2 linked regions of the Elephas maximus indicus genome follow. The protein of the gene in region 2 interacts with the protein of the main gene of each other region in a pairwise test. Links are inferred from orthologs where the notes say so. Each region holds a gene or a part of one and is shown on either strand. Other genes may lie near its edges. The genes, in order: SLC23A1 and AHCYL1.

The links.
Region 1: the proteins of AHCYL1 (region 2) and SLC23A1 interact in binary tests that used the Homo sapiens proteins (3 or more experiments, as listed by UniProt). The two-hybrid records come from large-scale screens. The link is inferred for Elephas maximus indicus from reciprocal best matches to the Homo sapiens genes AHCYL1 and SLC23A1.

What each region holds. Positions count from the first base shown.
Region 1 is NC_064820.1:152,516,089-152,523,311, reverse strand, and holds the start of SLC23A1 (solute carrier family 23 member 1), read left to right. Parts: upstream 1-4,106; 5' UTR 4,107-4,592; coding exon 4,593-4,674; intron 4,675-5,814; coding exon 5,815-5,876; intron 5,877-6,417; coding exon 6,418-6,546; intron 6,547-6,961; coding exon 6,962-7,119; intron 7,120-7,223. Other genes in the region: MZB1 (marginal zone B- and B1-cell-specific protein), read left to right, coding at 587-823, 2,174-2,298, 2,684-2,794, 2,882-3,038.
Region 2 is NC_064821.1:171,380,727-171,388,565, reverse strand, and holds the start of AHCYL1 (S-adenosylhomocysteine hydrolase-like protein 1), read left to right. Parts: upstream 1-4,814; 5' UTR 4,815-4,906; coding exon 4,907-5,026; intron 5,027-7,839. UniProt on the Homo sapiens protein: Multifaceted cellular regulator which coordinates several essential cellular functions including regulation of epithelial HCO3(-) and fluid secretion, mRNA processing and DNA replication.

The sequences.
Region 1 (7,223 bases), on a different chromosome or scaffold from region 2:
CATGCCCTCTCATGCCTGGGTATGGCCTGGGTAGAGGGGACCCTAGGACTCAGGGAAGGAGACCATGTGTGTCTTTCACATATGGTGGCATCCCACTCTTAGTGAGCTTGACGTGCCTCCCAGGGAGGGAGCCCTAGGCTGTCAATCACACCTGGGGCCTCTTTCCTCCTGGTAGCTGAGCAGCTGATAGGCTTTGCGATCAATCAGGCCTGAGTTCCAACTTTGGCTCTGCCCCTCTAACTGGGAGGCCTTGTAGTTGTCATTTCTCCCTGAGCCTCAGAGTCCTCAGCAGTAGAATAAAGATGACAGTAACCACCTCCTCCCACAAAGTGCTCAGCACAGCGTGTGGCACATGGGCAGACCCCAGGATGTGGGAGGTACTTGTTCCCACATGTTCTTGCCCTGGCCTCATGGTTCCCTATCTGCAAAATGGATCTGAGATGACTGGAGCCAGGCAGTCCCGCCAGCCAGAGAAGGTGCACACGTGGCATCTTCAGGGCCCTGGGGGAAGGGAGAAAATGGGAGGGGTGAGGTGTCAGTTCCTCATTGGGCTGGGCCAGGCATCCGTGGCAGTCCCCCCACACACATGCATATGCACACTTGCATGCCAACACATCCCATGCTTGCTGAGCTGGCTCCAGGGGCCATGAGGCTGTCACTACCACTACTACTGCCACTGCTGGGGGCCTGGGCGATCCCAGGGGGCCTTGGGGACAGAGCTCCGCTCACGGCCACTGCCCCACAGTTGGACGATGAAGAGATATACTCGGTTCATATGCCTACTCACCTGCGTTGTGATGCCTGCAGGGCCGTGGCCTACCAGGTAAGCCCCTGAACACTCCCCCTGCCCCTGCCAAGCCCCCTCCTCAAGCCAGACCCTTCCATCTACCTCAGATTCCACCACTGACCTTTGAGTCCCCCACTCTCAGCCCTAGGCAGTAAGCCCCAGACTCAGCCTTCCAGGATATTAGCATCCTCACTTCATCTAACCCCCCCATGCCTCAATTTACCCATCTGCCTGCTCAGCAGAAAATAACATTCTGGAATGCCTCAAATTGTTTTGATATCCCAGGGAATGACTCTCTTGTCCTATCAGACCCCTCCCTTTCCAGGTCAGTCTTAGTTATCTAGTGCTGCTGTAACAGAAATACCACGAGTGGATGCTTTAACAAACAAATTTATTCTCTCACAGTTTAGGAGGCTAAATTCAGGGCACCAGCTACAGGTGAAGGCTTTCTCTCTTTGTCAGCTCTGGGGAAGGTCCTTGTTGTCAATCTTCTGCTGGGTCTAGGAGTTTGTCAATAGAGGGACCCTGGGTCCAAAGGACACCCTTGCTCCTGGCTCTTCTTTCCTGGGGATAGGAAGTCCCGTTCCTCTCTGCTAACTTCTCTCTTTCATATCTCAAAAGAGATTGACTCAAGAAACAACTTAATCCTGTAAATTCTGTCCTGCCTCATTAATGTAACTGCCTCTAACCCTGCCTCATTAACATCATAGAGGCTAGGATTTACAACACATAGGTAATTACATCAGATCACAAAATGGAGGACAACCACACAATAATGGGAATGATGGCCTAGCCAAGCTGACACACATTTTTGGAGGATACAATCCAATCCATGACAAGGTCTCTCTTTACATCTGAACTCCGTCCCAAACATGACTGGGGTGCCTTTGTATCTCTGCACATGTGTTAATGCATGCATATATGAGTACATGTCTGAGGTCACGTATACGCCTGTTGAGCATACCTGTGCCTCTGTGTCTGTATGTGTGCATGCACATGGGACCGTGAGTACGCATGGCACTGAAGACTGAACTCTACTTTTTTCCCCACCTTGATGCATGGTTTAAAATAGCATGTACTAATGGGCAGTGGTTTCAGGGCAGATGTGCTGGGAGTAGGCACAGGGGACCCTGTGCCCAGGCCTCAGGTTTCACTTGAGAGTTTCCTACTCCGCCACCATCCTAAGGAGTGGATCCTGCCTGGGCTGGCCCCGGGCCCAGGTTGTGGGGACTCAGGGAGGGGCCGTGTAGCCCGCCTCACAGGTGCTTCCTGCCCAAACTGCTCCGTTGCCACCTCAGACTCTCCTGAGATCTCACCCCTGGATGCAGTCTCCTCCCCCTACTCTGCAGTCCCAAAGCCCTGGCTCACAGCCCCTCCTTGTTCCAGATGTGGCAACATCTGGCAGAGGCCGAGGCCAAGCTTCATACCCCAGAGTCTGGGAGGCGGCGAGAGCTGAGTGAGTCAGTGTATACAGATGTCCTGGATCGAAGCTGCTCCCAGAGCTGGCAGGGGTGAGTTGTCAATCCAGCCCTTTCCCCTCACCTCCAGGGTCAAGGCTGGTGGGTAGAGATCCCCACTCTCCAACTCATACCACACACACTCCACAAGGGCTCTGGATAGAGTTTGGGGCTAGCTAGGGTGAAGCCTGGACTCTGGAACTGGGAGCAGGTGGACCAGTGAAGTGGCCATTGGAGGAAACATGGACTCACTGGCTTGTTGTGGCCAGGGATTTCCCTCTCTGGGCCACAGTGTTCCACCAGGGAGGATCAGCTCTGGGCACTGAACTTAGCAAATGCTGACAATGCCGTCGAGTATCCCCAGCTTCATGTGGAGATAGGCCCCTCCCTGACCAGGCTCCCAGTAACGCTGCATCCTTCTGCTCCCCACTGTCACCAGCTACGGGGTCCGAGAGGTGAACCAGGTGAAACGCCTCACAGGCCCAGGGCTCAGCAAGGGGCCAGAGCCAAGCATCAGCGTGATGGTCACAGGGGGCCCCTGGCCCATCAGGTGATGACAGTGGGAGGGAAATGGGATGGAGCCCCGGTCTGCCTCTGTGGGGTGGGCAGAGTCTGAGCTCCTGTTGGGCTCCCCTAGGCTCTCCAAGACGTGTCTGCACTACCTGGGGGAGTTTGGAGAAGACCAGATCTATGAAGCCCACCACCAAGGCCATGCGGCTCTGGAGGCGTTGCTGTGTGGGGGTTCCCGGGGGGCCTGCTTGGAGGAGGCATCCATCACAAGGGAAGAGCTCTAGTCTGACTCCTGCTTCCCAGTATCAGCCCTAGAAGCTGGGGCTTTCCTCTGTAATCATCCCCATTCCCTTCTGCAGGCTGGTCCTGAGGGCAGGGAGGCCTTGCCTTGCACTGCCACTGTCTCTCCCTCCTCCAGCCTTGAGGCACTGGGGTCTGGGTGGGGGCCAAGGTCTTCTCCTCTGGATTCCAATAAAACCCAGTGACCTTGACTCCTTCTCTCAGCAAAGGGTGCTTGGAGGGCTGAGAGGGCAGACATAGGTGTTTCTGCTAATGCTCCTCCTGGAAAGGGCCAAATATACGCCTACGACTTCCCAGAGGTGAGAGAGCTCTACCATGGTAGGGAATGGGCAGCAATAAAGGCACAGGGACCCAGTTACATGCACAGCGTAACCCCAGGTCTTCAGCTCTATCATCACAGAAAAGACCAACCAAGGGAATCTATACAGGCAGGCCACTTTGTGGACACACCTACTGTGGCCACTCCATGCTCTGTGCCCAGAAGGCTCACGGGGCAATGGCCAGGGACTGATCACTTTCAAGACTCTGCTGCCTCTGACCCCAGTGGCATGATTGAGTCCCTGCCTGGGACAGGGCGGGGTGGGCTTCCTAGGACTAGCTGGATTCAACATCTTGGCTCCAAGTCCAGCTCTCCTCAGTACCTCCTCTGGTCTGGGGCCCTTTCCTTGAGAACAGACCCGTGATCCCTTACCTGGATCTGTGAACTTGGGGTGAGCCCTGGTCCTGCACCTGAATCTGGGAACCTGGGGTCAAGTGGGGTGACAATTTTCAGTTTCATTTGTGAGCGTTTCTGTTCCTACCGGAGCCCTGGGAGGTGACCAGAACAGAGACTCTAATCCCCATTTGACGGACACAGAAACCAGGGCTTAGACACCACAAGAGCTCAGGCTAAGTCCCAGACTGGGTAGTGGCAGGGTGGGGGTGGGGGGGGTGTGGGGAGGTCAGCTACTGGAGGAACAGGAATACCCCATGCAAGCCAGGACCACTCCAGCTTCCCTGGGGCTGAATTGCTGTCCCAACCTCCACATTCCTTCACCTGTTCCAGGATTTGCCTGAGGCTCCTTCTTCCCTGGCCCTCAACCTAGAGAGAACCCCTAAGCACCAGGAGGAGGGCCAGGGCCAAGGAACCGGATGAGCCGTCAGTGTATGGGGTGTGGAGTTGGGCACCTGTGACGTGGACCTGTGTGATCTTGTGTTTATATAGATTGATTCGGAGACATTCTTTGCAACAGAGTCTCTACGTCTATTTGCACGTCCATGTACCTGGGACCATGAGCAACTTCCCGTCCTGTCTGTGTGTTGTGTGGCTTTGGTTGAATTGTGTGTCATGGGGCTGTAAAGGGTTGGGCTCTGTCTCCACAGCCCCCTGGGGAGCATTGGGAGGAGAGGGTGGGGAGAAAAGTTCTGAGGAGCGTGCCTCCAAGCTCTGAACTGGTCAGACAACTTTGGGAACCTGGAATTAGAAGCCAAGAAGGGAGAGAAGAGGATAGACCGACAGACGAAAGGGCTGGAGGCCAGACCGGCACACAGGCTGTGTCATGAAGCTGCTGCCCAGCTGGAGAGCAATGCTGCCCACAGGTCCTCGGGGCAGGGCCTGGCTGTGGACACAGAGACCCAGAAGTAGGTGGGCCCTGGGGGGCTGGGGGTGGGGCAGCACAGAAGGTAGTAGAATCTGGGACCCTAGGCCCAGCACCCACCAGCTGAGGAGCTTTGAGACTCTGGGTTCCTCCCCAGCTACCCTTCAGCCAGCCCTCAGACCCCAAGGCCAGGCTGGGCTGGGCCTGCCAGGAGGGTACAGGCCAGGAGTAGGGCTGGCTGCATGGGCTTTTGATGTGTACCCTGCACTTAGAAAGCCCCCATGCTCCATTTGATACTCTGCTGTTGTCATCTTAAAATTCTTCATAATTTTTGAACAAGGAGCCCAACATTTTCATTTTGTACTGGGCTCCACAAATTATGTAGCTGGTCCTGGCATGGGAGGGAAAAGGAATCTGGGCCCTGACACAGGGACAGGGCAGGCCAGGTCTGCCTGGGCAGCTCTTTCTTCAGAGGCTCCTCTATGTTATGTGCCTCAGGGACCCTAAGTGGTGGGGTGTGGGGAGGGCAGGACTTTATCACACATAATGTGATGATTTATACCATAGGCTCTGGAGTTCAGACCAATGTGAATTTTAGGAATTTTTTTTTTTTTTAGAACTTTGCTACCTGGGTGATGTTTGTCAACTCACCTCTTTCTGAATCTGTTTTCTCAACTGTAAAAGAGGATAATTCCATCCAACACCATGGGGTTAAACATGACAGTACATATACTTTGCTCGGCATGTAGCCATTCCTCAGTAACAAGAGTGGTTATGATGATGATGATAATGATTAACTTGTCATTAATAAGTGGGGAAGGGCCTCATACAGGGTGTGGCACATGCTAAATGCCCTTTCTCCCTCCCTTTCCTCAAACCTCACCCAGTTCTTGGTAAACTTCCAAGACTCCCCACTGCCCACCCACCCGCCTCTCCAGCCACCTCTTGGCAAACAAGAACAGGTCCCATGCCCAGGCTCAGGTGCTGGTGGGGAAGGGAGCGCTCAGGAGGGAAGTATGGCAGAGGCTTGGCGGCCTTTACCACTATGGCCAGAGTTAATACATTACCTCCACCTGGGTTCTACTTTCGCAATCCAGTGCTGGGGCTCTGGTTACAGATTTACTACTTCGAACAATGTCTGATGTGTAAAGTCCTCCTTCGTAAAGTCCTTTCCTTTTCTCAGGAACTGCTCACAACAGTGCCCGAAAGATGAGAGTCCAGGAGGACCCTGAGGGCCAGACACAGGTGCTGGGGGATGGGTAGGACCTGGGCGGTGAGGTGGGGGCCGGAGGGCAGAGAAAAAGGTTCTGACGAACTTGATCAAGAGTGACTGCCCCAGGCTGAATGTGGGAGTTGGGGGCTGGGGTAGGGACCAGTAGGGGTTCTCAGTAATACCCCAAGGACCTCTAGGGAGTAGAGGACCCAAGTTGGGTCCAGGGAGAGCCTGTTTACAGTCTTAAAGCCACTTGGCTCCCTCTCCTCCTCGCCCCCAGGCCACTTGACTTAGGCACCCATTCCCCTGGCTAGAATGTCCGGGTCCCAACTGCTCCAGGAGCCAGCCATAGCACACTCATCCATGCATAAAGCAGCGTGAAGTAGAAGCCAAGTGTGGCCGGGTTGAGTGACAGCTGGGTGGATGGACTTGTGTGGGAGGGTGTGGGGCTCCAGGCTCGGATCCCCACTCTGAGGAGCTGACAGGCCACTCAGGCTGATTGTTTCTGAAGCAGGTTGGATTTTGCCTGTCCCCCATTACTCCACCTGAACTACTTCTCTCTGCTGCCCTCAGCATGAATCCCTGGACTCAGCAGCCACCAGGGACCCCCAGATGTCCCTGCCCACAGAGTCCAAGTTTGACATGTTGTACAAGATCGAGGATGTGCCACCTTGGTACCTGTGCATCCTGCTGGGCTTCCAGGTGGGCTTCCCCCCAGGGTCTTTCCACCCCTCACTTTGGGCTCTCTCTGATCCCAGCCCTCTCCCTGGCCAACGGAGTTATCTTGGGTAACAGGAAGAGAAAACTAAGGTCAACACAGTGGCTGTCACCAAGTAGAGGTAGGGAAGAGGCCTAAGAGAGGATTAACCCTCTAGAAGCATTCATCCCCCGCCAGTTGGAGTGTCAGTGGCAGGGAAGAGTGCTGGCTCCACAGAAGCTGTGGGGATAACTCGAGGAGATTAGTGACCCCCAGAGAGTTGAGTGGTAGCTCTCTGGGAATCCCTCATGGGGATCGTCAGTCCTGGGTAGACCACTGAGGCAGGTGAGGACTATTAGGGTACCCCTGTTTCCCCTGAACTCTGTAATCCTTGGCTCATGCACTCCCCCTGCCCCCCAGCATTATCTGACATGCTTCAGTGGCACCATCGCTGTGCCCTTCCTCCTGGCTGAGGCGCTGTGTGTGGGCCGTGACCAGCATATGGTTAGCCAGCTCATCGGCACCATCTTCACATGCGTGGGTATCACCACCCTCATCCAGACCACACTGGGCATCCGGTGAGCTGCCCCGCCTCCGCCACTCTCCTCCAGCAATCCACACAGCAGGAGGAGGCTACTTCTCTCAGAGTACTCTGATGGGACAAAAAAAGCTGCCACCCACC
Region 2 (7,839 bases):
GTTAACCAAAAGGTCAGAGGTTCAAACCCCCCAGCCGCTGCTCGGGAGAAAGATGTGGCAGTCTGCTTCCATAAAGATTTACTGCCTTGGAAACCCTATGGGGCAGTTCTACTCTGTCCTATAGGGTCACTGTGTGTCAGAATCAACTCCATGGCAATGGGTTTATTGTCACCCAAAGGTCCCTAGGTAGTACAAGTGGTTTGCGATCAGCTGCTAACCTAAAGGTTGGCGGTTCCAACCCACTCAGCAGCGTAGAAGGAGAGAAAGAGCTGCTTCCGTAAAGATGACAGCCAAGAAAGCCCTATGGAGCAGTTCTACTCTGTACAGATGGGGTCGCCATGAGTCGGAATCGCCTCAACAGCTGCTAACAACAACATCACCCAGGATCTCCAGTAATTTTCCCCCACTAGACTCCTCCTTCAAAAAGAAAAAAAAAAAAATTTTTTTTAGACTCCTCCTTCTCCTGTGCTTATGATCATATTTATCATTATTTTGAATGTAGTCTACACAGGGGGAAAAAAAAAACCTGTGAGAATAAAAATCTCTTTAAGGCTTCTAATTTCACTTGATTCTTTTCAATTTGCAGAAGCTCATTTTTACATACCTGCCATCAGTGTGTACCTGCCATTTTCCGTTCTGCTTTGATTGAATTACAATATTTCAAAAACCTATTACCACATTCCCAAGTGCCAAAGTAGAGCCTGACCTGCAGGAGGTGGAAAGCCTACAGGGAGTACCCAGCCTTTGTCTGGTGGGGTGCCAGGCTGGGTGTGAAAGGTGCCAACCAAGGCTCCCCTGGGTCTCGGGGACAGTGTGTTCTGCAGATGTATCCAGCTCAACATCTAAAGCTGAGCTCTCATCTCGGCGGCCCTTCCACCCAGACCTGCATCTCCTCCCATGTTCCCAGTGGCTGTGCACCACCACCCACGCATGGGCCACCAAGCCCTGCATGCTCTGGCTCCAGCTTCATATCTCCCTCGCCCAACTTTGTACCCTATGTTCCACCTGTGCAGAGATATTTCAGCTGCCCTGCCTTTTCTCATGCAGTTCCTTCAGCCTAGAATCCCTCCCTGCCTTGTCCAGAGGCAGCTCCAGCAGCATCTCCCTCTAAGACGCCTTCCCCAATCACCCCCTATTCCCGTCCCCAGGTAGAAATCAGGGACCTCATCTGTCTCTGTAGTCCCAAAATCTAGCGCCACTCCTGAACTTCTTCAGCACTCAATATATATTTTATGAATAAAAAAAAAATGTGTTAATGTGGAGGGTAAATTTTGGGACAGACAGAAGAGTGAATTTGGCTAACCAGAACAAGCCCATGTGTGGTACCCTAGGGCCACTACATTTCTGGCGACAGCATCTCCTACTTCACCTCCACACTCACCCCAGTTCCTTCTAGAACACGGTCCCCTCTGGTCTCCAGGCCCTTTGGAGACTTCCCCTCACCACACACAACACATGCACCTGTCATTGGGTCCCTGCTCTTCTTAAACCTGGTCTCTGGACATTTCTCTCATCTGTGTTTGGATTGTGCTGTTCAGAGCGGTGGGCACTGAGTCAGGTGGTGGGTGGTGGCAGACAAATCATTCCTGGGCACCCATGAGAGGCAACCCCATTAGCTGGGCCGGGTAGGGCCATCTTAGGAATGTGTGGCAACATGCAATGGTTCTCAACGACGTTAGGTTGCCACGCTCCCTGACTGGGTGAGCTCTTTGATCTCCAGTGCACACACGGTGCAGGGTGGCAATCACCTATGCCCTCTGAAGTGGGAATGCCCCTAGACCTTGACCTGACATGAACTACAAAGGCCCACTGCCTTTCTACCAGAGCAGGGAGTGCCGCCCCTCCCATCTTCCAGCCTAAGCACCCCCAGCTCCCCTTAGTCGGTCTCACTAAGCCTCTACTTGGGCCAGGCATTCAGGTAAGGGGAGTCTGACCTGCTGGTCTCCTTCCTGGCCCAAACTGCTAAGGCACTGCCTCCTCTAGTCCTGGCCATGTCTTCACCATGCTGCAGCAGCAGCCAACTCTATGAGCCTGGTGTGAGGGCAAGCCTGTGAATTTGGTCCAGGAGGAGGCAAAGAGAGGCTGAACTTCAGTCTCCAGGAATCTCACAGTCTGAAAGCTAGAAGGCACAGCAGGAGACTGAGAGGCAAAGCACTTGGATGATGAGATTTTTAAAAATCAAATCCAAAAGCCAGACACGTCTCTTCCTTTTTTTTTTTTTAATAAACTACCCTAAGCCTCCTGGTTTTCTATCCAAGGTTCTAACTGGCTCTGCCTCTGTTCTTCGAGCAGGTAGCTCTGATCCTGAGGCTCTGACAACAGTTTGGGCAAACCCACAGGACGGAAGTGACCGTGGGTCTTATGTTCAGAGGGTGCTGGGTGGGCCGGTTGTAGTGTCTGGCTCCAGCTGGGAGATGAAGAGAAAGGTGGCACTCTGAACCCTTATGGATGAATCTGGTGCTCTGGTCCCCCATCTCTCTGCCCCTTCTGCTACAGGGATGTAGCAGGGAGAGGGAGGTCTGGGTGCTCCGAAGAGTGGGCAGATGAGAGAATCCCAACAGCCCAAGACCAGGTCTGCAGAAGTGAGCGTCCTTCTAGGCACTTGCATAGCCTGCTTCAAGCAGACAGCCTCAAGAGGCTGGGTGTTTGGAATGTATACTTCTCCAACTAAGACTCCCGGGACCCCCAGAAGTATTTCAACCTCTCCCCAACCTTGAACACATGCAAGTGAGGAAAACATCATTTCAAACCACAACTTTGTTCTCAAAAGTGTTGGCCCTGTTAAAGACTTAATGGGTTTCTGGATTTTAAAAGGTGGGCTTGTAGAGGAATTTAGGAAAAAGGCCCTGGGAAGGCTTGAATTGTTCAGCATTGTAGAGAGGAATCTGGCTTCCCAGAATCAGTCAAGAAGGGAGGGGTGGGAGGGGAGTAACAAGAGGGAGTTAGATTAGACGGCAGTGGGCTAAGGGGTATGGCCAGTGAGAAATCCCAAGTGGTGAGACAGCCAAAATAACTTCTCAGAACATTTCAGAAATGTGATTTTAAATTGTTTGCTGTGTGATGTAACCTCTCCCCTGTGACCCACAAGCCTTCATTAAAAGTTCTGCTACATGTTACAGCCTTACTTTTGTAGTTGCTTTGGGGTTGGGGATGGAGGTTGAAAGAGAAGGGGCTGTGTTTCATATTTGGAACACAGGAGCTAAAGAAACAGTTGCAAGACCGGAGCAGGGAGTAAAACTGGGGCCAGAAGTGACCATGAACATGTAAGCCCACTCAGTAATTCACAGAAATCCTGGCAAGGGCATTGGACTTTCCACAGGACATGGGAATTCCAGCCAATGTCATTTCAATCTCAAGGGACAAGCTACCTCAGCTGACATTTAGGTTCCATACAGGTTCTGCCTCTCCAGCTGGACTTGCTGGCTGCTGTGGAGTTGATTCTAACTCATAGCGAGCCCAGGTGACAGAGTGGAACTGCCCCATAGGCTTCTCTTGGCTGTAACCCTTACAGAAGCAGACTGCCATATCTTTCTCCTCCGGAGCTGCTGGGTGGGTTTGAACTGCCAACCTTTCGATGAGCAGCTGAGCATTTAACTGTGGCACCACCAGGGCTCCTTCCAGCTGGACTAAGCCCTTGCAAAACATAAAATGTGTCACGCATGCCTTTGCCATCCAAGGTCTTAGCGCAGGGGCTGCACACAGTAAGCAAAAAAACAGTAGTGCCCAGTAAAAGTGTGTGAATGGCCCATGAGTGCCCTGGGTGCCCAGTGGGAGTCGGCAGAGCCTAATGCTTGGGTGGAGGATGGAGCAGGAAAGCTTTCAGGCTGGGGACTTCTCCCGCCTTACTACTGCTTTCCACCCTCTGACCCAGCATGGCTATGCGGCCTGAAGGTCTTGTAAACAGACAAGGCCCAGGCAGAGGCGGTGTCAGTGCAGGTCACAAAGGGTTGTGCAGAAACCAGATAGCTCTGATTTTGTTCTGTCCACCCCTGTAGGGTGAGAAGAGGCAAACATGGCCTCTTAGGAGGGGGCAGCTGGTCCAAAGGGCCTGGGGCAGAGGCAGTGAGTGAGTGAGTTGTCCGTGGCCCCGGAACATTCCTAGGAACGGCTGTAGGATATGACCTGTAGGGTTCTGGTCTTTGCTCCCAGCATACCCCTTACGCCCTCTGAGATCTCGCCTCGCCCGGAACACCGCAGTCCAAAAAAAAAAAACCGTTACCGTTCAGTCGACTCCAACTCAAAGAGACCCTACAGGACAGAGTAGAACTACCCCACAGGGTTTCCCAAGAGCGGCTGGTTAGCTGACCTTTTGCGTAGCGGCGGAGCTCTTAACCACTGCCCTACCGGGGCTCCCCCCTACAGCCCAAATACCCTCAAGCCTCTGGCATCCAAGCAAGAACCCTGAGCCGCTCACAGGGCTGATGGCGCCACCTGGCGGCACAAAGGGTCCGGCTCACCCTGGGACGGAGTTTTACCATCAGCTAGAGAAAGAGGAGGTGGCTTCTGGGGCCCAGCCCGGTCCAGCGTGATGACGTCACGACAGAGCCCACTTCTCCCCGCCTCTTCCCCCTCCCAGGAGTTGCCAATACTTAACGTGGCGTCCCGCCCTCTGCCCTTACTTTGCGTGCGTGTTTGCGTGCGGCGGAGGTGGCGGCGCTGGCCGGTGGGAGCTCCGCGCTGCTGCTTCTGGTGCTCCTAGCGCGGCCGTCCGTGTCCCGCTGTGTTGAACTGCCAAGCTGACGAGGCGTCGGCCGCAGCCCCTTAGAAGCGAACGCAGCCCGAGTTGGGGCCGGGCGGGAGGGCGGGCAAGCGCGTGTCGGAGGGCGCGGAGCGAGCAGGCGGGCGGACGCCCGTGAGGGAAGGAGGCGGGGGCGGCGGGTAAGCCGCGGGCCAGGCCGGCCGGGGGATGTCGATGCCTGACGCGATGCCGCTGCCCGGGGTCGGGGAGGAGCTGAAGCAGGCCAAGGAGATCGAGGACGCGGAGAAGTACTCCTTCCTGGCCACCGTCACCAAGGCGCCCAAGAAGGTGCGGGGGCTGTGGGTGGCGGCGGGGGCCCGCCGGGCCTCGCGGAAGGGGCGCGAGCGAGCCCCGGGTCCCGGCTTCGGCTAGTTCGGGACTTCAGGGGCGAGGGTTTGGGATGATTGGGGACAGCAGAGGTGGTGTGGGGTGGCGGGTGAACGGCCCCAGGCCCATCCCGAGCTGGAAAGGCCGTCCGTGACCTCGCTTTCCTTTGTCCCTCGGCCCTAGCCCTCTAGGATCTTTCTTAAACCCGACAGGGCCGGGCCTTAAATTTCCCACTGAGTTTTCCTGGATGAAGGGCCTCGAGGACGGGAGTGAGGGGGTGAACAAACTCAGCCGGCCCCTACGACCAGCCGCGGGGGCGGCGGGGGGTGGGTTGTGCAGAGAAGCTCCCCTCAGGTGAGTGAATGAATCCGGCAGAGCTTTTTCGGGCAAGTCTTTGGGAACAGTGGTCGTTTTATCCAGCAACTGCGTGATAGCTTGGAGGCAAGAGAAAAGAATGCGTGGACCCAGCGGTTTTATTTAGGTGAAGGCAATGAATGCACCGTGAGATTGAAAAGAAAACTATGATTTTCACCTTCTACGGTCTTCCTGTTGCTTTGACATCTCTAAGGAATTAACGTTTGGAGGTTGGTGACAGCAGACACTGTCATGGATACAGGTTGATCGAGAGTCGTGTGAATAGATCACTTAGACATCCCTTGAGAAAGGAGCTTGGGTGGGTTGGCAGGGTGGGCGGTAGGGAATGATTGCTCATTCTTTACTGCTCTTATTGAGGCAGAACAAGTTTAGTCTGTTGTGCTGTGGGTTGAACTCAAAGGACACCCTTCTGATCCTCTTGTTGTGGAAGATTAAATGGAACTCTTTGGAGGTTTTAGTCCAAACACTTCTCCAGGTGGTGGAATTGGGGTCCCTAGTGCTTCCTGATCATTTACTGCCAACCACATCTTGACTTTCTACATACCTGGCACCCAGTTAACAGTAGACCAGAGAATCTTTGCAACAAAAAGGTGACCTTTCTGAAACCAGTGAGAACCCGGATAATTTCTCTCCTATATAAAGACAGAGTCTGTCAAAGCTACCTCTGCCTGCAGCGTTTGATGGGATGCAGTGCTTGTATAAGCTGAACAGAGGCTTGCAGGAGTTGTTACAGTCCTTGAGGCTCCTACACCTGAACTGGCTAAGCTATCTTAAGTGGGAGAGATGACATTTAAAATGAAAGAATTTAACGCACCATTGCAGATACCAAATGCCACATTGAAAAGACATTGTGTGTGTGCTGTCTCCTCCCCTCCCCCCCCAAAAAAATTGAGATCTTACCAACGAAATGCCTAAAAGAGATTAAGGACCATCCCTTGGTTCTAAGGAGTCTTGATTAACTGTATTTTTACTGCTCTTTGGTTCAGCTGGCTGCAGGGGGCTGTAACTCTTTGTATTCTGCACAGTTCTTTGGAGAAACAGTCACTGCACTTAGAGGCTGAATGGTTATAGGTATTATCTCGGGGAATTAGAAGGAAGAATGGGAAAGCCCTGATACCCTAATTCCCTGGACTCTTACTCTCCCCATTAGCCCATCTTTTGTCTAGTTGCTTCAGGGTATTAAGTGTCTTTATTCTTATTTGTGAATGCCACCGTGATAAGACAAAGTTTGTATTATAGTTTGTAAACTTTCATAAAGGCAGGGCCTCTTTATGCCTAGCTCTGTACCTAGATACTGTACTCAAATATTAATTGCCCACCTGGCTAACAAGTAACTGAGATGTCAGGATGGCTGCCTCCCAGAAATAAATATCCTTTTTCTCTCCTCTTCCCAGGAGGAATGTTGTTAATGTGTATTATTGTAAGGCCAAGAGCTAATGATTTTCGAGACTTGTATTCCATCAGCTGAAAGAAGCAGTCCCGGCCAGGGATGTGGGAATGCCCTGTTGTTAGTTTCCATTTGCTGGTAAATGTGCCCCCGTGTTTCTTATTAACCTTGCTCTTTCTGAGCTTTATTGCTTAGCATTTACGCAGCACTTGTATTAAAGTGCTTTATGATGACTAATTACTCTTCCCCTAGTGATGATAAAAGGCATTTATTTAGTTAATGGGTCACTTGAGGACTAGTTCAAGGTCACATATCAGGTCCTAGGTAATCCATATTTCAGAACTTCAACCTAGTTGGACATTATGACTTAAGTCACTTCTGTACCTCTGCCACGTGCCGATAACATGAGAAAGCATGGAAAAATAAGAGGAAAAAGGTAGTTTGGCATGGTACTGAATGGTATGAGAAAAAGACCTCCTGAAATGGTGCCAGTCCTTCACCTTTCACCTGTGAGGATTCCAACCTGGCTCTAGACCAAGAAATCCTTGAATCATCCAAGCCTGGAGGCCCCAGGGAAATGAGGGCATTTCTGGTGCCAGTCAAAGAATATAGGTTATTTCAGGGTGACCTCGATGGTCCTGCATCAGATTCCAGGGTAGCTTCCTGGTGAGCTTTTACTCACTTTGTTTGCTTTGCTTGGAGTTGAGTGGATGTCCACCCGTTCAAAGCAGAGGTATCTGGATTCTTCAGCTATAATAATGACTTAGTTTTGTGTGGCCCTGGGGTCTAGCACAGTGCTATGTAAATAATAGGGCTTGTTGGATTTCACAGTTTGATCTGGGTGTCAAGAAGCCAACTAAATGAGTATCTCGTTTAGCAAATGAATTTAGCATCTGCGCTTCAGTTTTCTCATCTTTCAGATAAGTACTTGTTAAGAATAGGTGGAGATAGAGGCATGTTGGAAACTAAGATAGCAAGAGGGCTTTTTAAAAAGTCTATTGGTGTATTTATA